3 linked regions of the Drosophila melanogaster genome follow. Changing the gene in region 3 together with the main gene of any one other region gives a genetic interaction. Each region holds a gene or a part of one and is shown on either strand. Other genes may lie near its edges.

Region 1 (5,910 bases), on a different chromosome or scaffold from region 3:
AACTGCACTGCACGCACATACAAGACAACATTGCGTATACGTGATTATGAGTTACATTTTTAGGATCAGTACGTAGAAAGCAAATATTTTGAGGGGATTTATGTTTCAAAACATAGGATTGTGTTTTAATGCAATATGAATGATTATTAAACTGTAACATAATAAAACTAATATTCTATTTATAATAATTATATTATGCTTGCATTTTGTACATTGAGTTTCAAGGAAAATGGATTTCGTAATCAATTAGTAAACTAATATATTTCCAATAATTATATTATTAAATTATATTTCATTTGTATAGTTCGCAGCAAAATGGCCTATTGCACCTTTTGACCTTTTTGCACCTTCGGGCGTAAGTTTCTATCTTGCGATTACTGAATTTCGTATTAATAAGACATCTTTGGTCGAAATGATATGCAATTTGAATGCGATTAAAGATCTATTCCTGACATGAGACCAATAATAATGCCCATTAGCTAAATGAGCACATTGATGTCTCTATACATTTGTTTTTTAGAAAACTGTGTTCTGAATGCTCACTGAGTACTTTCGTACGCTCTCAGGGTGCGCTTCGTCACTACGTGAACGGGCGTCTACATCGATTAGATGATAAGTGAGGAAGACTGGAATGCCTAGATCGACTTGGCTAGTTATCCGGCTAAAAGCAAAAAATGAAGAGTGGCCCATGAGGGGATCGAACCCGCGACCTTCGCGTTATTAGCACGACGCTCTAACCAACTGAGCTAATGGGCCTTCGTGAGAGCGGCGTTCTGGGTTATCAATTTGGATTGGGGGTGCTTCTCTAAACACTCATATCGCTACTTATTTAAAGTCCGAATAAAGTGGATGTTATCTATGTATATACTGATTACCTTTTTGTATTCCAGCCTATTGGGTTATAAACAAATAGAAATATGTGTGAATATAAAATATAAAACAATTCGATTACAATTTTCAATTTCTTGGAAAGCGTGTTGCATGTTTTTTTATTCTTATCAGCAAAAAAGAAATGTAATAAGAAAGCCTGCTGAGACCACTTATTGCAATATCAGTCTTCGGCAAGTAGTCTTCTGAATCGGACAATGGAGTGCCACTAGACCATAGGAGTGCTTCTCCTGAGCTGGTTGGTTTGTGGCCACGCCTGTTATTATCCAAAACGATGTTTGGCCAACGATGGGAGTGCACCAAACCGGCGATTGGCATCGACCGACTAATGTATTCTGTGGACCCACTTAAGTGTGTTGTGAAATAAGGGCTCAAGTAAGTGAAATAAGAGCTCAAGTAAGTGCACTACAGGTTCACAGAGTTTGTACGCAGCTTGTATCCATTCTACCCCTACTACACCAGATGGAGAATCCGTCCCTGTCCTCGTTCTTTGGAGGAGGTTCCCTGATTGCCCCTGAGGTTGTACTAACGGCAGCCCACCTGTTGTTGTCTATACCTGGAGTCTACATTTGCATTTAAAAATGACATACAGCCCATCTGCTTACCTCTTCAAGGGTCGTCCATTGAGCAGACACACTGTGTGATTTCCGGATGGGGAAAGCGTTCTTTTAACGACTCTCAAATGTCGAGTATACAAAAGCAAATCGAGTTACCCATAGTAAACAAAGGAGATTGCCAGAATATGTTGAGGAAAACCAGGTTTCAGCTTGCCACCAGTCTCATATGTGTCAGCGGACAGAAGGACAAGGATGTCTGCGTTGGTGACGGTGGGTCCATCTTGGTTTGTTCCCCTGACGCAATCTTCGCTAGATATCACCAGGTCGGGATCGTGGCCTGGGGCGTCGATTGCGGCAGGCCAAACGTTTCCTCGACCTTCAAAAATGTGTCCATGTTCAGGAAGTGGATTGATCGCAACTTTCCAAGCAACTCGGTGGAACCGCTTAGGAACTGTATTCCTATCCACCCAAGAATTTCGTCCTATAAAATGAGATACATGTTGCTTTAAATCACCAAACTTAGCTAATGTAATTACATATATTGTATCAAATATATGTATTTATGAAATTAAATTATCAAACGGAGTCGATTTTAACCACCTGCTGAACTTCAGGTTAAATTATTTTTAAATTGAAGCTTAAGTCTTGGGTATAAATATTTATCAACTAAATTGTTATTTTTTGGTCGAGGAATGTCATAATATTGGGTGCAAGAGTTTTTTCTCTTAGACTACCATTCTGCTGATTGAAAGTATAATATATATCATTAGTCAAATGCAGTATGAGATATTTACCCCAGGAAATAAGCACATTTGTTTGATTTGTTCTTGTGTTCATTTCATTTCTTCATTTTCATTACAGTGACCTTATTAAGATTTTAATTTTTTATCCGTCTACAATTAGTCTTATTGTTGCTGGTTTTATATTTTCTTAACCAAAATAGTGGAGGCTAGTCAATGCTATACAAACTTGTCACGAAAACTTAAGTTCCTTTAAATCTGGTAAGTGCACCTTAACCGCCAAAATTTCAAACTCACCGAAAATGTTAAGCCACAAGTACTCAATAGGCCGATTGTCAGCATCGATGGCGGCATCGATGTTTCCCCACCGCGAACAGAGTGGCTGGCCACACTGGCGCTCAGCTGGCGCTCAGCTGGCGCAGTTGTTGTTATTCTTGCATTTCTACAGCGCGAGGTCCGAATTTTCGAGCGCAGCGCGGCCACAATTTTCCGGGCGTTAGTTAACCGAGACGACTAGTTTAATTAGCGGAATTGTGCGACGACGTCGTGGTTGAAATTCAATTTGAACGCCCAGGCGGTAGATCGGTAAAATCGCGACATCAAAGCACGAGAGTGAGTGAAAAGAGAACCCTGGAAAGTGGTCAATGTGTGTGTATTTGGCGAGCAGTGGCGGAGCACTGAAAAAACCAGTTAGCTGGCAGTGAAAGAGATTCAATAACGTGTTGGTGGGCAAAAGAAGAACAAATTGTTTCGAGTGTGCGAGGCGACGACGACGACATCCAACTGGTCCGGTACGAAGAAGTCCGCTTTCCTCGCTCATTAGCGGCGCTTTCCTCGGGCCCACGATCTGGAAGTCTGGAAATCGGCGATACCTAAAACCGGGCCATAGCCACCACTATCATTATCAACAAATTGATATACATATGCAATTGCAGCAGCGCGTCATCAGCACAGCGCCCATCGCCTAGCAGGTGCGTTCCGTACCGTCCGTCACTTTCGACATTATATTGGTCTGATCGGGTTTCTCTCTCTCTCTGGTGCGTGGTATCTTCTATGTATATACTATAACTATGCATACTATATATGCTCCGTAACAACACACTGCATTGTCTTTCGGGAATTGTTAACACCCCGCCCCGGTGGTGGAGCATCTTTGGCATCCATTCAGTCGGTTGCCCATTCATTTGCCTAACAGACTCTTTTCTGCGCCAACCGACGAACAAGTAAAGTGAAAGGCGGCGGCACGCGTTTTCCCATCTTTTGTATTGAATTTCGCTTCGGCAGCGAGGAAAGCGAAATCGTTCTTAGTCATCAGGACGTGTGGTGAGAGGAGGAGGGTGGGCCAAATCAACATGCAACCGCCTGGCAACAGGCAATGCGTCACAAAAAAACAAGGAATTTCAATTTCCAAGCTGGGATTACTAGTTAACTAAAGCAGACTGTAGTGCAGGGGAAGGTGGTGTTACCGGGGTAGAAATTGAAGGAAATCAAAGGCGATCGATAAAATAATAATATCGATAAACAACATTTGATGAGACGAAAGAAAAGATTCGTGGTTCAAGTTGTTTTACTTTCAGCCAGGCATTTTTAAAAACTTGGATGCATTTAAAACCGGCAAGACAGGCCAAAACGCTGTTGACCCACGGACCTTATCGATTTTTGCAGCTGCTGGGCGGCTAATCATTGGTTTTGTGGCGTGACAAGTGTTTCGGCACCACACCCACTGTCTGTATGTCAGAGGAAAAAAGCGTAAGCGGAAGTGATTTCATAGACCGAAACTCACCCCGAAAACTGAAACGCTGAAAGGGGCATTTCCGTGCTTTGTGGCCATTGCCTGCCCCAAGTCGCTAGTTCATTTTCCGCTATTATGTTGAGGTTAGGACTTTCCAAATCCATGTGATTTCCCAGGGTGCCGGCTTCTGTGCGTCGTCGCAAAAATATGCTGCACTTCGGGGGTGCAAACAGCATGCTTTTCGTTTTCGTTGAAGTTTCACGGCCGAATTGATTTTTCCAGCCTAGACATTACAAAATGCCTCGCCGAAGTGGCGATAATAAAGCGCCTTTTCAGTTTTGCAGCCAGCACGCACATCGGGGCATTTATTACCGCTTTTCCGTTTTCCCTCTTACAAAACTGTGAAGTTAATGCGGCCAGCACGTGGGTCTACGCACTGAGTTTTCCGTTCCTCAGTTTTCATCTGGCCAAGCACTTCTCAGCTGGCCGCCGAAAAGAAAGGGGCAACGAAAGACGCAACCATGACCAAAGAAACTCAAAACTCCAAACTTGAGCAATTTGTAGGCAAATTAAGGTGTTAACTAACCGTGAAGTTGGTCAGTGGGAAACCCATCGAAGATGCTCTAGCTTAAAGCTCATACAGAGCAATAAACAAGTGTTTCTTTGAAGATCTTCGATCTGCTCTTATAATCTTAGATAAGAAACTAGCAAAGTTGAACTTAACTGAGGCAGATAAGTATCTCTAGGTTTAACGAGTTATGATTTCTGGCATATTTCTCGCTGTGTATTTTCGGCAGACGAGCAGCTCGGAAATTGTTTGATCGATTCGATTCCTTCGTCCGCTTCCGCTCCGCCGCTATCGGCTGTTGCCTTTTACCCGCCCATTCGCCACTTGCTAACAGTTGTTTTCGTACGTGAGCAGCGCTCGGATAGGCAGATACTCCCCGTCAGATACACAAGATAGCTTCCTCTTCTGCCTGGATGCGATGCACTGTGTCCGCTCCGCGCTCTCCGTTCTCCAGCTCACCAAGCGGAAGCAACTCCATTTATGTAAATTGCTTGCGTGACATTTCAATGCGACGGGGCGCTTTATGAAAAGCTGGAGCGGCATGGTCCGAGCGGGATGAGCGGTGGCTGGGAATAATGGGTTGAAGAATCGTGGGTCTGGTCTGGTCTGGTAGCTAGGGCTGCCACGGGCTGCTCCGTCATGCCAACAGTTGGCAATCAGTTTAACTGTGCTTTTTATGGCCGTACTTTGCGCTTTTTATGCGCACTCATTGCCGCACATGTGCAATATTACTGCACTAACGTTTTTGCAATCAGTATCAGATGTACTCGGAACTGGTGTGAATGAATCTGCATGTTTTCCATCTGCGTGATGTTTCTACTCCGCTTTAATTATCCACAGTTCCTCAGTCGTTTCATATCATTAATACATGATTGGGCACAGCGATCAATCTTTTTGCACACTAAATACTTGTCTTTGCCTACAATCAGAAGTAATAGAAAGATCGGATTTTATTGTTTATCAGATACAAAAACTGGCGCTTATGTACATATATCTACAATTATTGTTTTTTTTTGCCACTTCCAGTTTTAATTATCCCGAATTTCCGCTCCGATTTCATCACCCGTAATTTGTGAACTGATGAAAACAATACAGCCTTCGGATTAACATATTTTGGAGAAACGTTACAAAGAGATAAAATTCATATTTGAGTTTAGATTGTCGGGCGGCGTAAACTTGGCCCAAAACAAACATTGCCACGGCTTTTCGGCTATAATTCGTTTGCTTAATTTGCTTTTTCGAGCTCGCAGTTCAGCGAGGTGAAACGGTTAAATGTTTTCAAAACTGCCCCAATGTTTTCCCTTCGCCATACGTAGATACTTAGATACATATGTATATACATACTTGACGTTGCGTGTGGTGCTCATTGTTGTTTGGCTGTGCATTATGCTAACTAGACCCTAATGTCGGTGCCCGGGTGTTTTG
Region 2 (9,008 bases), on a different chromosome or scaffold from region 3:
CAAGAGAAGGCCATGGAGGGAGGATCACAAACGAACATTTCGAGGGAATATGTGGCGCGGAATGATGTTATGCCAGAAGTCATCAAAAAGTGGGCTAGCTCTCAATTCTCAATTCAATGCCTATCTGATTTGAGTATTTCTTCACAGTTCCCAAAGCTACCGCCAGTCGCACTTCAACCGGCTGGTCAACAGTGCGGCCACCAGTCCCGAAGTCACACCCCGCAGCGAGATTGTCACATTGCGCAAGGAGCAGCAGCTGCAACGTCAACAACCCCCACCAATGGAGGTCAAGCATCTTTCCTTGGAGCAGCAAATCCGAAATCTGCGCGACGTGCAGAAAAAGGTGGACTTGGACGTGGAGGAAGAGGAGGAGGAGGAGGAGGAGGAACAGCAGGCGGAGGAAAGTCAATCCGAGTCGGAGCCGCAGAACGAGGAGCAACAGCATTACGAACAGCAAATGCAGGTCCAACGCAAACATCTCCAGGTGCGCAAGGTTCGCAGTGAGATTAAGTATGTGGAAAACAATCCCAAGGAGGCAGCCAAAAAGAATCGCGAGTCCAAGTCGGACCATGAGTTTGCCAACGAGAGAGATGTGAGTAGTATCCACAATATAAATTAACCAGTACTAGCAATTTATTCTCCTGTACGATAACCCATCTTATCCCCACAGTTCAAGCTTAATCCCTCTGTTCAATTCGAGACGGACATTGGCGACAATGTGATGGTCAATCCTGGCCACCGATACGAGGGCGGCGGGGGCGATACGGCCTATGTCTACAACTATGAGCATGAGCAGCAGCAGCAGCCAGTCAAGCGGGGCTACGAGCACGGCTATGTGGTGGGCGTGGGTGACGGATCCCACAGGAGGCAGAGGCAATCTCAACTGGTCGAGGCTTTGGTGCAAAAACGTGTCCCAGGCGCCAGCGATGGACATGTGGCGCAGTTCGTTAGCAATCTGGAACGACAAGCGAATGCTGGTAAAACGGGGAAAAAGCGCCTTAAACCTCGGCCTGAGGACGATCTTCAGGTACCAGTCGGCGACATGCACATGGAGTCGTCGTATATGTCCCGCTCCGAAGAACTCTCCTCAACGGACGTTACGCTGGAGAACTCAGACTACGAGACGGAGGCGACGGACTCCACGTTACTTAGTAGCTCGAAATACTCCTCCATGCATGTCTTTGTGCGGCGCAAGCAATCGGAGTCCATGTCACTCACAGAAGAGGCCGGCGACGGAGATGCCGGCGGTGGTGGAGGCTCTGGCGATTTCGGCGACCAAAATGTCATATCCCCGGCCAATGTCTACATGTCCCTGCAGCTCCAGAAGCAGCGGGAGCAGAGCGCCTAGGGGTCGTGACTTTAGGTTCCTCCATTCAAAATCCCCGCAGCCATTCGCAGCCGGAGCAGCGACACCACAGCTGGCTGATACGCCGAGCAGTAACAACAACAACACCACTACCACCACCATCACACCCACAACAAAGCAGCCAACTCGATTCGATAGGATCCCCACTGGGAGAGCTAAATTTGCAGTCATACTCCCGGGCAGTAGCAGTAGAAAAGGGAACCTGCTCCTTTTTGCACGTCCTGCCATCTGCGAATTCAAGCTGCACCAAAAATGTACAAAAATATACTTTGGTCTTACTAATTTCCATTAAAGATTTATTATTTGTGTGCTCCCTAAGCGAGTTTGTTGGACCTTATTTTCGGATGATTAACCGCCCCAAGTCAAAATGCACATATGCATGATATTGAGTTCTCTATGTGATATCTTTTGATTTATTTAGTCCGTATATTGTGAAATTATAAAATATTTGCGTTCGGTTAAGTTTGCGTTGAATACTACTGATTAAGATTCAATTGGATCAAGTATTTTGAATGTAGTTAAGTTAACTCCATGGTTATTTATTATGTGGAGGTTAGAGGGCGTGCTTAACCGCCAAATCCGTAAAGGGTGCGTCCCTGGCGCTTGAGGGCATAGACCACGTCCATGGCGGTCACGGTCTTGCGCTTGGCGTGCTCGGTGTAGGTGACAGCGTCACGGATAACGTTCTCAAGGAATACCTGTGAATTTTCCGAGAAATTAATCAGTTTTTCACCACTTTCCCTTCGTTTCGCCAGAACGTACCTTTAGCACACCGCGAGTTTCCTCGTAAATCAAGCCAGAGATACGCTTAACACCGCCGCGACGAGCCAAACGGCGAATAGCAGGCTTGGTGATACCCTGGATGTTATCACGAAGCACCTTACGATGACGCTTGGCGCCCCCCTTTCCCAATCCTTTGCCTCCCTTTCCACGACCAGTCATTTCTCAGTTGCTTCGTAAAGTTGGCTGAAAAGAAGAGAAGACGCAATAAACTGTAAAGCGACGCCATGTTTGGTGAAAGGTAAACGTTCATTTGACAGGTGAAAACTGTTGTTAATAAGTCTGTTTTCATACAAAATAATGGTCTCCAATTATTTTTTTTATGTTTATGCACAAAAAAACTTTGTTGACCGATTCTTCTATTATTTACTTAAATTTCTCAGCAACAAAACTCACTTCAAGAAATCTCCAGAAAATTGCTTGTGAGCGTGACCAGATCTCGCACACCTCAAAATACCTTTCGCAAAATGCGCGTATCTAGTATTTCTATTGTCTCACTACCAGCCCTGGTCAGTTATCGCCTATCGGCCATCGCTATCGCCGCCCCGTTGCGACAAAAAAGATTTAATCGAACCGAAAGACGTGCTCGCACTAAAATCGCTTGAAAACAGGCCCGCAGACCTGCGAAAAACGAAAAAGTGCAGCGCGCATATACTTTTTCAACTGTGCCCCTCTAGCTTAAAATTAAGTCGCGGCGAAAAGTCGAGTAAAACCCGCGGAAATGCGCATGCAAACGGCGTGTGGCCAGCAAAATCGCTGCCAAGGCACCGCACACACACTCGGCCACCCACACATACACACTTAGTGCTGTACTCGAAAAGTGCGAAGACAACAGGAACTCTGTGCCAAAATAATATTAACAGTACCCAGTTATTCCATTCCACTGCACCTGTCCCCGAAACATCGAAATATTCGCGTTACGTATACGCAACGAGTGCTGTAAACAAGTTTGCACAGGCGATAACAATGTCCAAATACGATCTGCTTTATCTAACGGCGCAGCTAACGCTGGGTATGTATTGCACTGCGAGTGTGTGGGTGCATACTTATTGGCGCCTTAATTCCCAGTCGCTTTATTATGTACATATGTACATAATATTATATTTTGTCTCTGCCTTACGATTTTCCTCTGTAATGCAAGCCGACTTCGATTTATAACCATTCGTGCGTGTGATTTTTGATGATATGGGGTGCGTAATGCTATTACTTTATTAATATCACATGGCGCTTGAAAAGTTCATATATAGGGTGTATAGGCTTTGTGATAGCTTTGTCCTATTAACCAACACATCAGAACATCTTAAATTTTCAGAAATTAGGTATAACGAATGTAAATGCTAGGAATCAAATCTATTTGTGAAGTGAATAATGTATACACTAGATACTCTATTAAAGCACCAACAATTGTACTACACAAATGTAGTAAAATATCGTAAGAATTGTTGACAGTGGGTACTACGAATTCATATGTTGAGCGCCAAACGCATACTCGGTATAAATCGATCGGATACCTAATTCCCAATCTTAATCCATGTGTGTGTGCGCTGAGCATTTCTTTGAATGGATTTTGCTGCATTAGGAACTTGTTGTATGGCAGGTTCTGGTTTCTCCCACCCTTTTGCTCCACCGGCCTCCCTCTCTTTCGCTCGCCATAGCCCTCTCTCTTTCTGTGGCGCAGTGCGCTCTCTTCCCTGTTGCTGCTGTTGTTGTTGTTGTTTCTGCTGCTGCTGTTTCCTTTTTCCGCACAAGCGCCACTTTAAACCCATCCCTTTCTGTGTGCATAATGTGCCTGCTTATGTATCTACTTTACTATAAAGCATGCACGCTTACGAACACACACATACATGGCCAGCGATCCGATTACCTAAAGGACAGTGGGACGAAAAGTGTTTCAAAGGATTGAAAACAGTTTGCTTAGCCAATGGTCAAGAAATATCAATCAATATATCGCAGGCTCGTTGCAATAAACGTTTTCAAAATTAAATTTTTTGTATTTACACATTTAAAAAGTGAATTATCATTTTAATTTTTATCAACAAAAATTTCGGTATTTGGATGAGGATCCCAGATTAAATCGAATTAAAGAATGTAAATAGATTTTCAAGAAACCTTACTGCAGGCCCACTGTGCACTGCATATCCGTGCATTGGGGCCATGCCCACTCAAAGGCTGGTGTGTGGCCAGTGGGGCTAATTCCGTGCCCAAATGGGGTGGCTTTCAATGGCAGAGGCCCCAGCTTAGGACGCTACTCCTGCTACTTCTGGGCATGCGATATGTGTACAAAGGATAGCGCCCACAAAGAGCTCGCTGAGCGCCCTCCCTTTCAGTCTTATTCCCCAAATAGGCTCGACTTTATTTGCCCACCCTTTGAGCACTTCCAACCGATAATTCCATTAACTTTGATCTTTAACTACGTTTTAACTTTTTGAAAGTCTTTACTCATGTTTTAGGACTGCTCAAATATATACTTTAAATATAGATCAGTGCTAATCTAAAACTAGAAAGATTATTAATCTATTTTCCCATTGTCTTCATTTAGTCTGCTGTCTGATTGGAATCCATGGATCTATTTTGCCCGGAAGTCATGGGATCATAGAATGCGAGCACTTCGACGAGAAGATGTGCAACACAACGCAGCAATGTGAAACACGGATAGAGCACTGTAAGATGGAGGCGGATAAGTTTCCCAGCTGCTATGTCCTTTGGTCGGTCAACGAGACAACGGGTGAGCCGTGCAGAAGTTGACGTTGTTTCAGGCATACTGATTAATTTTAATTTTTCCGTTCCCATAGGCATCCTGCGCATCAAGATGAAGGGCTGCTTCACGGACATGCACGAATGCAATCAGACGGAGTGCGTGACCAGTGCAGAGCCACGGCAGGGAAACATTCACTTCTGCTGCTGCAAGGGATCGCGGTGCAATTCCAACCAGAAATATATTAAAAGCACCACGGAGGCAACCACACAAGGTGGGTTCGGATCCGGTTTCGGATTCAGATTCGGTTTAACGTTTGCTGCTACTGGGGTTTTGTCTTTGGAGTGTTTACCCCAATTTTGTTATTTTTCCGTTTGCATATATTTTTTGTTTGTTTTTGTTATTTCGTTTTTTTTTTTTTTTTTTGTATTTTTACTGCATCTTCAAGTTGCAAAAAGAGGGCGTAGGCTTCGCCTACAAAATACCACTCCTCGCATCCGAGGCAGCGTTTTTCGTGTTAACGAACTCTTGACGCGAAGTGGCGCCCGCTCCCCCATCATTTTCTACATCCCCAGCCTCCAGCAACCCCTTTTCGGAGCCGCATGTGTTGCAATTTCTGCCCTCCTGTGCACGTTCGCTGGTTCGTTTTTATTTTTATAGTAAGGTACTTCTTTAGCGATCGGGTATAATGCGTTCGCTTTAAAGGATGCAACTGAAAGAGGTAGTTATTTGGTATAAATCCAATTTATTTCACTCCGATTATGAAGGCTTAATAGGATTAGACTCTACCTATTTTGAATGATACTTAATTGGCTTGCAGCCTTAACCCACAACGAGGAGAGTATCTGTTATCTAATACCAGGTATACAAGTGTCGAGTGACTTCATTCTAGCATCCTTTCTTGTTTTTATTTTTGGGGTGTTGCTGCTGCCTTTGACTTCGAAGCCCTGTGCTGCCAGGGCGTCTTTTGTGCCCTGCTCTTTGTTGTTTTGTTCTTGGGCCTAGCTCGCTTTTATCTCGAAACAAAATGAGGGGAAAAAGAGATGCGAAATTGGGGGCGAACTTTCGTTTTTTAGTTTTCGTTTTGCCTTTCATAGCAACCCCAGCAGCTGCAGGTGCATGCCGCCACTCGAGATGTTGTTCACCTGTGGCAAGGCAGCGTTTAAAGCCCTCTTTAATGTTCGTTCCCGTGTGTGTCCTTGTATCGTTGCAGTGCCCAAGGAGAAGACGCAGGACGGCAGCAATTTGATATACATCTACATTGGCACCTCCGTTTTCAGCGTGCTCATGGTCATTGTTGGCATGGGCCTTCTTCTCTACCGACGCCGCAAGCAGGCGCACTTTAACGAGATACCCACGGTACGTACATATCCTTGTGATGTTGCCGCAAATATATAATTTTAATTATGCAAAATTAAACCCTTTAGCACGAGGCTGAGATAACAAACTCATCGCCATTGCTCAGCAACCGTCCCATTCAGCTGCTGGAACAGAAGGCCAGTGGTAGATTCGGTGATGTGTGGCAAGCCAAGCTCAACAATCAGGATGTGGCCGTCAAGATCTTTCGCATGCAGGAAAAAGAATCGTGGACCACGGAGCACGATATCTACAAGCTGCCGCGCATGCGCCATCCGAACATCCTCGAATTCCTGGGCGTTGAGAAGCACATGGACAAGCCGGAATATTGGCTGATATCCACCTACCAGCATAACGGATCACTATGCGACTACCTCAAATCGCACACGATCTCATGGCCAGAGTTGTGCCGCATCGCTGAGTCCATGGCCAATGGACTGGCACATCTGCACGAGGAGATCCCGGCATCAAAGACCGATGGGCTAAAACCATCGATAGCTCACCGAGACTTCAAGTCTAAGAACGTACTGCTTAAGAGCGATCTGACGGCCTGTATAGCTGACTTTGGTTTGGCCATGATATTCCAGCCAGGCAAGCCCTGCGGCGATACACACGGTCAAGTAGGCACTCGACGTTACATGGCCCCAGAGGTGCTTGAGGGTGCCATCAATTTCAATAGAGACGCTTTCTTACGCATAGACGTCTACGCATGCGGCCTAGTCCTCTGGGAAATGGTGTCACGGTGTGACTTTGCCGGACCCGTCGGTGAGTTCCAGCTGCCTTTTGAGGCCGAGCTGGGCCTGAGGCCGTCGCTGGACGAAGTTCAGGAGAGTGTGGTAATGAAGAAGCTGCGCCCTCGTTTGCTCAACTCCTGGCGCGCCCATCCGGTGAGTGTGACTTCTGATAATGCTTTTAGTCAATGAAAATAACTTGTAACTTTTTTACAGGGACTTAATGTATTCTGCGACACAATGGAGGAGTGCTGGGATCACGACGCTGAGGCTCGTCTTAGCTCTTCGTGTGTGATGGAACGCTTTGCGCAGCTAAACAAGTATCCCTCAACCCAGTTGCTAATCAAGAACCACACCAACATTGACGACGCCAAGGAATCTACGAATTGCTTATAGAAGCGGTACTAAGCCACAGACCAGCCAGCGGATCTGTGGCTCTGCAAAAAAATCAGTTGAAGCTTTTTGCTTCGTAGTGGATAGTTGATCGTCGAGGTCGTAAGACGTTTCGTTTTTAGTTTAATAGTTTGTAGTACCATTATAAGCAGCTATAGAATGGGTTGATTTATACGAAAGAAGTCGTGTAAGATGTAACTTTTCCTAAGGGAAAAGCCAAAAGCTTAACATGCCAACGATTCTTTGTTATTATTTTCTTTAAATTATAAATCGACTCATTCGATGTTAACCCGAGTTCTTAAATCTGTTGGAAATGAGTGGAAACGTACACTAAGCAACTTTGAACAAAGAGCATTAGCTATGTCCAGAGACGTGGTAGTTGCTAATCCGACATTGACTTCATTGACTGATAACCATATATAGTTCTATATAAATCATACATATAACGTACAATTTGTTTTGCCCTCTGGCAGTAGCCTGTGTGCATATGTAAACTGTTGAAAATTATCGTCAAGCCTTTTAAAGTATAATTTTATTTGTACGTTATCGAATGTCTTCATATAGTAGTAGTTTTATATTTAAAGTTATTTTCAAAATAGATTTAACAATTTTAGTTTACTTTTTAGTTGTAACGTTTTTATTTCGCGCTCAAACGTGCATGCGTTTTAATGTTGTATTTTAAATAAAAATACTTTAAACTCCATCCTAACCATCTGATTTTTTATTATTTTGTCTGTTTTATATTTCTGCTTTTGATTTTTATTTTTTTATTTCCAAAACGTAGTGCCAATGACCCTCAGAAATCGCGTAAGCATAATAAATGTGTAATTATGTAATTGTATTCTAATTCTACTGGACAGTACAAGCAACACCTGAAGTTTTCAAAGGAAAGTTTCTTTTTAACAAGAATCTAACTTAAGCGCATATACATAAATTATAAAATATAAACTATACTCTTTATATATACACACAACACATACACGCATAGGCATACGGAACACACGCAGTCTAGCAGGTTTATATGAAGCACACGCTGCGACTCATCGTCAGCATAAAATCTAAACAAAAAAAAAATCAAAGTTAATATTCAACCCAAGAGGTATGCACACACTGTAAGAAATTAGAGCTAAACACAATGAGTAAGTATGTTAAACATTGTTAAACGGATAGTATGTCTTATAATGTTAGCCAAACAAGGTGTATGTCGAGCTATAGTTATTTAAGCTATAGTTTAATTAAGAGAGTCTTGGCGGAATGTATTATCTTTCGGGTTATTTGAAACTTTTTTGCGCAGCATCAGTTCTTATCAATGGCTAAGCATCTGAAATACTTCTGGATTATCAGTTAAGATATCAACTAAACACGATACACAACACAGAACAAAACGAAACAAACAAAGCTTCATTACCTGATTTTTTTGAGCAACTTACAACAAAAATAGTTTATTACGCAAACAAACAAAAACCAAACGACATAATCTTAATAATAGAACGAATTTTGTTATGCTGTATTTAATTTGTATATTTTCCATTGGTGCTGAAACATCATTACGACGAACATAATGATAATGAAGATAATAAGAAACGAATTCAAAAACAACCAGTATTTAAAGAGCGAAGGAATAAACAATTAATATTTAATCATAGTAGTTTGTTACATATCAGATTGCTAAATGGGATAGAGGAAG
Region 3 (7,774 bases):
AAGTGGGGAATCTAAGATTTCTGTATGTTTAGGTAGTTGCCCTCCAGTATGTGCTTCTGCTCGTTCTCGATCTTCTCCAGCGCGGTCAAACTGTTGAAGCTAACGAAACCGTAGCCCTTCGAGCACCCCGTTCGCTTGTCGAAGATCACGTTGGCGGACACCACGCGTCCGAACTCGCGGAAGTAGCCACGCAACTCCTGGTGGCCCACTGTCCACGGTAGATTGCCCACGAAAATGCGGTGCACTGATTTTCCGACTTTTGCTACAGCTGCGGCGGTGGCCATGGACTCGGTTTTGCTAAATGAGGTGTGAATTCGAATTAAATATGGTTTTCTGCTTCTTCCAGCCAAGGCGATCTGGATTCCCGGCGACTCCTTACCAGTTGCGTTGCGTAAATACTGCTGCGTTTCTGTTTCACGTCAACTTGCTGTTTTTGTCGACAGAGAGACATAACCTCAAAGAGGCAGCTAACAGCGCAGTGCTATTACCCTACATGTCGGAGTACATTTGTTCATATATGTAATCAATACTGCAGAGGAGCGTACAGATAATTAGTTAAATGTAATCAATTGGTTTGAAAGCCAATGTAATGACTTCTAAGCTACATTACTCCTAAAATAGTAGTTCATGCAAATAGAATAATTATTTTGTATGTCTATAAATTAAAACTATTGGTTTCAATAGATTAATCTCTCAGAATCGATTTAATTTAAATCTTTATCGTGCTAATCATTTTTCTTAATGTCATAATATTCATCCAAATAGAGTATCAAATCGCTGATGTCTAGTAAGCATAAGCTGCTTTCATTCATTATTTGTGCGCTTAACAGCACATATTCGCACTAACAGGTTCTTACTAGCAATCTGTTAAGCGACGAAGTTCTGTAGAACGGAAAGGGAGCGCCAAATTCAAACGGCAGATCAAAGAAAACACATTTTTTATTTTTGATTTTGCATGATTTTGTTTTATTTTTGTAATTCTTTTTCTGATTTTCCCTTCCCTTTCCCTTTCTTATTTATTTCATTACTCTTCAGTTTAACAAATTTGCTATCAACTACTTAAAATTAACAACATCGCATACACGTATCTTTCTCGATTTCCTTGCAATAAATAAACAAATATTGATTGTTATAAATGTACAATACGATCAAAAGAACAAGTGGATAAGGGTGGGGTTAGGGGTAAGGGCGTGTGCAAGCTTTTGTTGTTTAGTTTAGAGTGGTGTATTTATGCTTTTGGAAATAACATTAACTATGGAAGCCGTTTTCACGTGTTTCTTTTTGTCTCTCGCCTAATTCCTCTGCTGCTGCCCGGAATATCCTGAATATCCTGTGATGCTTCGGATGATGTGCCACGATTTCTCAATTCTCAGACTAACTCGGTTCTCGTATAATTAGTGATTTGGCTCTCTAAACTCCCTATATATATCTGTCCCAGTCTGCGGCTCATTAACCTGATCTGATCCGATCCTATCAGAATTAATTTGATTTTTAATTCTTTTCGCTACTTGGCTCGCCTTACAAAATATAAATTTTGCCTTACTTGCTTGCTCCTCGGTTGTTGTTTACTTTAATAGTAGTTTATAGTTGTGGGTTGTTGCTTAGTCGTAAATATATAACTTCCCCAAAAATCTTATCCATAGAAAAGTGTTATGTTTGGTTTGCAAGCAATGAAACTCTTGAAGATCTTTCATCCGTTTAGTTTTGTACAGGAAACAAGGGCAGAACGTACGTAAGTCTATACAGAATCGGTTACATATTTAATAATTATCCATAATAATGATGTCCAAGTTAAGTTTCGTAATTAACTAATTTGTATAACTATAAGTATTTTGCTTCGTCTTGTTAGTTCGTATCTGCACAAAAACAACTCCAGTGTCATAATAGTTAATTGTTATCATGGTATAGAAATTACAAGACTGTTGTTGTAAGTGGCCTTAGATTTAAATTACAATAATATGATATATAACTTGACAAATTTGTTCTTTATGTTGTGGCTTCGCCTTCTGCTCAGCTTTACATTCATATATATACTGTATACTGTATATATATACTTTATACTATATACTGTCTGTGTTCAAGAGTTTTTATTTGATATTATAATCAAAATATACACCCAAAAAAACAAGCGAAAAAAATGTCTAATAAAAATAGCTGGTCTCTACATATATGGACAAGTATGTATGCATAATTAGATTGTTAAAAAAAAACTGTTAGTCTATACACAAAAGGAGAAATAAACCATCGCTTCCAAATCTCCCAATATATCCTCAACTTTCTGCTTTATCTGTTTGTCTCATCTTATCTCCGCTCATTTGACTGAATGGTACAAATTTTAAATAATAATGAACAAATTCGTTAATGTGTCACAGCACCACCTTGTTTGTTGTTAATTTCAGAAGATATTCTCCCCACTTCGCTGGCCCTCAGTGCTCCTTCTAAATAGATAAACTAAACTAGCGACAGGCGGCCCACCTGCTACCAGAGGCGGTGCAGGTGCAAGTTCCTCGACAGCACCGATCTCACGTCGTTCGTGAACCTCAGCGCATCCAGCATGGGCAGCAGCGACAGCAGCGCCGTGTCCATCGGGTCCGAGAACCAACTCTTGATGGGTATGGCGTTGTTGGGAAAACAGCGATAGGCGCCGGGCGAATTGTCGATGATAAATATCTGCAAGGAACGATGCTCAATTTAGAACAAAATACTCGTATATAAAGTACGATCTTATGCAGCACCCTCTACTTTATCGATTTGCAACTGATGGCTCGCATGGAGTCACTTGTTCCCGCTTACCCTATTTAGGTCACTGCAGATGGCCGACAGGTCTTTGGTGTAGGATCCGTAGTCGGGCGTGCAGTGCTGTCTGTAGTATCGCCTCCGGAGGATGTTTCGTCCGTTGTCCAGCTTGTCTGCCACCGCCGCTCCGTAAATCTCCATGCTGGCCGTGAAGACCACCAGATCGTACCACTGCGAGACCTGCGGGCAGTAGGGCGTAAGTTAATGTGTTGACTTAAATGCGGGAATGCATCTATTTGCTTGGCCAATCAATTCGGGAACTTACCACGTCCAGGAAGTAGTCCACATGCGGTCGCTTGTGCACGAAAAAGCGCACTGGATTCCGATCGATGGTCACTTTGACAGTGAAATCGTGCGGCGTGCCCGGCTTCACCGTATTCCGGGGCATCGCATTGTGATGGGAGTGGATTAGCGTTTCGTCCAGGTCCAGAACGAGGGTCTTGCGCTGCACCAGGCTCAGGCGGTGCCGCGAGACGGGTGACAACGGGAAGAGTTCGTATTTAACCGGTTGATACTGGATAAACTGAGAAAGTTAATACATAATCAACGGAGCAGTACTTGAAAGGCATTCGACATGGGGTTCATATGATGGGCTTGGTGGCTATGCGTCGCTACACTCTGTTGGGGTTGGGTTGCGGTGCAAGGAGATGTTAGAGGTGCTCAATGGCCAAGTTATCACTAGTGCATGGGAAACCCCAATTTACTGATATATTATGCTTTTACAAAACAATTAACAATTATTAGCTGTGCAATAGCATATAATGTTGATGTGGATTCATCGATATCTATGTATATAAGCAGGTCGAAGGTCAGTGCCTCTGCCGCGTCACGATATCTGGCCAAAATCGCCGGCCCAGTACTGAGAGAGTATTGAAGGCGGGTGGTCGATAAGGCGGATGGGAGAACCGTGGACAGCACTTCTGGGACGGGTGGGGATTCGGTGGAACACGAACCATTAAACGTGTGGCGGAAAATCTTGATAGAGGCTTACTTTAAGACAGGTGTCACTGGCTAAGCGGTACCCAGCAAAAATATATGTAACTTTACGAAAATTTAAAATTTTGCAAATATTTAGGAATAAATATCTCGTATTCGTATATATTGAAAGTTACTCTAAATTTAATAGATCGCACATTGAAGTAACGTAAATATAATTTGAAAATATAAATGAAACCATATTATTGATATGAGAGATTTGCAGATACAAAGATCTAAAATATATGAATTAATTTTAAGTTCAACGTTTCTATTCATGCAAATCTTCAAATAAATTTCCGAGGCAAACACATCCATACTCTCTAGCGAGTACTACCTGTATCATTGAAAATCTTATCAGTGCGGCCGCTTTTATTATTATTATTCTGTAGCAGTAGTACTTAAGTTTCGATAGCGGGAGCGGGTTGGGAATAATTTCGGCGTTTCGGGCGGGTAAAAATAGGACTATTTTTGTTTTGTGATTTACTCCTGCTTTCGGGTAATTTCAGTACTTACAGCTCGCACTTGGCGATTGAACATGAAACAAATGCATGTCCATACTTTTGATAGCAACAACAAAAGCGCACGGAATTTCATTTGCAGCAGCGAAATCATTGGAAATAGTGCAAGTCCTTGTACGGTGTTTTTTTTGTTCGGGGCGATTAATTCGATAAATCGACCACGATCCGCGATTGACCGCGGTGCGAGCAGATTCCTCTTCTTCTTCCGCCTCCTCTACTTTATTTTTTCTTTTGCAACGAATTGTTGTTGTTTTTGATAACGCGCCGAGAGCCACACGCACACTCACCCACACACCCGCGGGCGCGCTTCACACAACACACACTCACACAAAAAAAACCCGGAACAAAATCGATAACAAGGCTTCTAGATATTTTGTTGAAAGTGTTTTTCTCTTTTCCCGGTTTTTTACTTGAGTTCAATTATTCGGTGTCGCCTAGTTTTAAGGTCCCTTTTCAAGGGAGAAGGAGGGGTATGGTCTTATTTCCAATTCTTTTGGGGGCTTTTTATATCTGGCGTCTGCTCTTCTTCTTCTCTTTTGTTGTCTTGTACGCCAGTGTGTGAGTGTATTGTTTTTTTTTTAGCGTAGTGTAGTTTTTATATTTTGGCAACTATCGCACCGATTTGGGAATAGATTTTGTTTTTGGTTGAGCAAAACGAATCAATTGATTGAGCTATTGCACTTTGATTGCAGTCGATTGCGAGGTGCGTTCGCCTGAATAGTACGACCTGGCCGTGGACTGTTCATTACTCGTTGGCGCTGCGGCTTAGTGTTTATTACATAAATATAGTTTGTCCGCGTTTCGTTTTTGTTTAATAAATTCCCACACTCATGCACACACTCATGTTTATTCGATACTATCGCACTTTCGCAGCATCGATGAGTTTTCCGCAACTATCGATGGCTGTGTAGTATGACCGTGCGGTGCTGTCTTCAAAATCGCTGAGACACAAACCGTGACACAAACCACTGTGAAAACTCGTCGTTTAAGGTTACGAGTAGGTGCTATGTATGTACGTTTGTGTGCTGCTGTCCAACGTCTTTTAGTGGCGGATATTATAATAGTTTTCCAACTTCCTTGCGACCTATTCCATCACCAGAACCATGGGCCAACAATCGCACACTATTTGCGATCTTAGTCAGACGCACCCACTACGGTCACACCATTCCACATCAGCCTCTCTTCCATCAACACACACACACACTCGCCCGCCCCACACACACACGCACACACACCCACCCACACAGACGCAGTGGCACGAAACGAAAACAATTATTTTGCATCGCAGGCGATAAGTTAAAAGTGATTTAGACCGCACTGAAACCATGTCAGCGGCTGGTAGATCGGTGGACGATCCCGGCCAGAGCCCACTCGTAGACCAAGAGCCGGATCCGGGCCAATCAACGCCAGCGGTGGCCGAAATCGCCGCTTCCAGTGTGAGTGTTTGGTTTTTTTCGCCCTGCTTCTATCTTTTTTTTTTTTGCTGACGACGACGGAAGACACGTCAACTTCTGGAGCGCTGTTGTTTACCTTGTCCACTATCCCACCTAATTAGCCATGTATTCGCCACATAGATTCGATCGGGCCTGGCGGAGCTGGAGCTGCGATCTTCGCAGGTGCTGCAGCGCTTAGAGAACGTTAAGGTGTCGACCACGCCGGAGAGCCCAAATCCCGTCGAGAACGAGGAAGAGGCTGGGGAGCGGGTGACCAGCGAGGACCTCCTGCCAGCGAAGCATCGCGTGCCCTCCGACATTCTTAAGTCGCTGGAGCAATTGGTTTCTTACACGGACAGCGACGATGATCCGGAGTTCCCGCTGCCCGCCCTGGATGACGTCTCCCACTTGGCTCTCATATCGCACAGCATTGTGGCCTATTTGTCGCATCTGGACCGTCAGCAACTGCTCCGGGTGACGAACAGCATTTCCGGGGACGCCACCCGCTGGTTGGGCACGCTGTTTCACTTTGCCCACCCGGCGAGCAGCTTCCATGCGGACAATGCAGACGCGGTGCTGCGTACGGTGCGACTGGCCATCGTCGCCAGGTGTCCGGGGTACTTGGAGGGTGGCATACCCGCCCTGGCGCAGCCTACGTTTTACATCTCGGAGAATACGACGCCGATGAGGCTGCACTACGCATGCCGCCAGTTGGGCATACCGCTGGAGGCTATTAAGGTCATTCCGGAGCACAGTCAGTCCGGGACAATGGATGTGACGCTGCTGCAAAAGCAAATTCAGCAGGATGTGGGCAATAACAGGACTCCGCTGCTGGTGGTCGCCGACATTGGAGCCTCGTTGTGTGGCTATGTGGACAACCTGCTCCGGCTGAGGGACGTATGCAAGGCGCACAACATGTGGCTGCACGCCAGTGGCCACGGACTGGCCGCCTTGGTGTGCGCCCAAAATCAGGGCCATGTGGAGGAGGTACTCCACTCGATGGCCCTGAATTTGGGCAGCTGGCTGGGTGTGCCCAGTCTGCCCATCGTCCTGCTGCACCGTCCGCTGCAGAACAGCGCTCTGAGTGCCTTCGAATCCGATCCCATACTGTCGCGTCGTCTTAATGCCCTGTCCTTGTGGACCAGTTTGCAGGCGCTGGGCCGGAAGGCGATTGCGGAGCGTCTGCATGTGGCCTTCCAGACGTGCAGTATTCTCTTCGAGATTGCCTCCAAGTGTGAGGGCATCCGGGTGTTGGTAAATTATTGCACACACGTTTATGGATAATGTTTTTAGTTTACCAAAGGACCTTGGCATTTTCAGAGCCATACTCCAGGAGCGCAGACCGGAGCCTCTTTGTCGGACGTCATTCAGAGCCCCTTTGATGTGCAGGCGCTTTTTGATGCCGCCGCCCCCGTGGTCGCCTATCAGTTCGACGGCAGCACCACCATTCCACTGGGCGGGAGTGGCTCTTCCGCCGCCGCTGCCGCTGCTGAGCGGGAAACGGCCGAAGGCCTCAAGCCGCTAGAGAAGATTAACAATGCTTCCTACTTCGACCGGCTCAACTCCTGGCTGGGTCAAATCTTGCAACGCGACTGTCCCAATGTATGCAGTGTGAATTAATCATCTCCTTGTATGAGCCTAATCACCATGTTCTTCCAGTTTGACTTTGAGGTAATTGAACACCCGACGCACGGCAGCTGCATTCGCTACTGTCCGCTGGAATTGGGGTTGGGTGAGCAGCCGCCAAGCTCCGAGAACCTGGAGAGCTTCGCTCAGAGCTTAGAGGCACATGTGGACATCCTGCGCGCGACCATCAAGCACAAGGCACGGTTCATTCATCTGGTGGAGTGCAGCGACGTGCTGCGCCTCGTTCCACTGCCCGAATGGGCGGGCATGGGCGGTGTTCGCTTCGTGCCCGAGGGCTGGGAGTCCCTGCTGACGGACCAGGCCAAAACAGAGCTAAACAAGCTGAACATCGACCTGGTGGAGGCCCTGAAATCCACGGACAATGCCTTTTCATTAGGCGAAGGCACCGATGGTCTGATTTGT

Evidence for each region. Genes that interact genetically often act in the same process or in processes that back each other up.
Region 1: of Dd (region 3) and Lpin, changing one suppresses a phenotype caused by changing the other (phenotypic suppression), as found in Drosophila melanogaster (one study listed by BioGRID).
Region 2: of Dd (region 3) and put, changing one suppresses a phenotype caused by changing the other (phenotypic suppression), as found in Drosophila melanogaster (one study listed by BioGRID).

Annotation. Positions count from the first base shown.
Region 1 is NT_033778.4:8,153,301-8,159,210, reverse strand, and holds the start of Lpin (lipin), read left to right. Parts: upstream 1-2,556; 5' UTR 2,557-3,156; intron 3,157-5,910.
Region 2 is NT_033777.3:14,619,350-14,628,357, reverse strand, and holds the start of put (punt), read left to right. Parts: upstream 1-2,654; 5' UTR 2,655-3,112; coding exon 3,113-3,158; intron 3,159-4,685; coding exon 4,686-4,871; intron 4,872-4,938; coding exon 4,939-5,115; intron 5,116-6,054; coding exon 6,055-6,200; intron 6,201-6,268; coding exon 6,269-7,084; intron 7,085-7,144; coding exon 7,145-7,324; coding exon of another isoform or gene 7,325-7,336; 3' UTR 7,337-9,008. Other genes in the region: CG7886 (uncharacterized protein), read left to right, coding at 1-89, 148-592, 671-1,348; His4r (histone H4 replacement), read right to left, coding at 1,933-2,064, 2,129-2,308.
Region 3 is NC_004354.4:21,318,844-21,326,617, forward strand, and holds Dd (dullard), read right to left. Parts: upstream 5,167-7,774; 5' UTR 4,387-5,166; coding exon 4,288-4,386; intron 3,320-4,287; coding exon 3,062-3,319; intron 2,977-3,061; coding exon 2,794-2,976; intron 2,671-2,793; coding exon 2,479-2,670; 3' UTR 948-2,478; downstream 1-947. Other genes in the region: SLIRP1 (SRA stem-loop interacting RNA binding protein 1), read right to left, coding at 12-284; CG1486 (uncharacterized protein), read left to right, coding at 5,618-5,728, 5,867-6,979, 7,046-7,327, 7,385-7,774. UniProt on the Drosophila melanogaster protein: Serine/threonine protein phosphatase that may dephosphorylate and activate lipin-like phosphatases.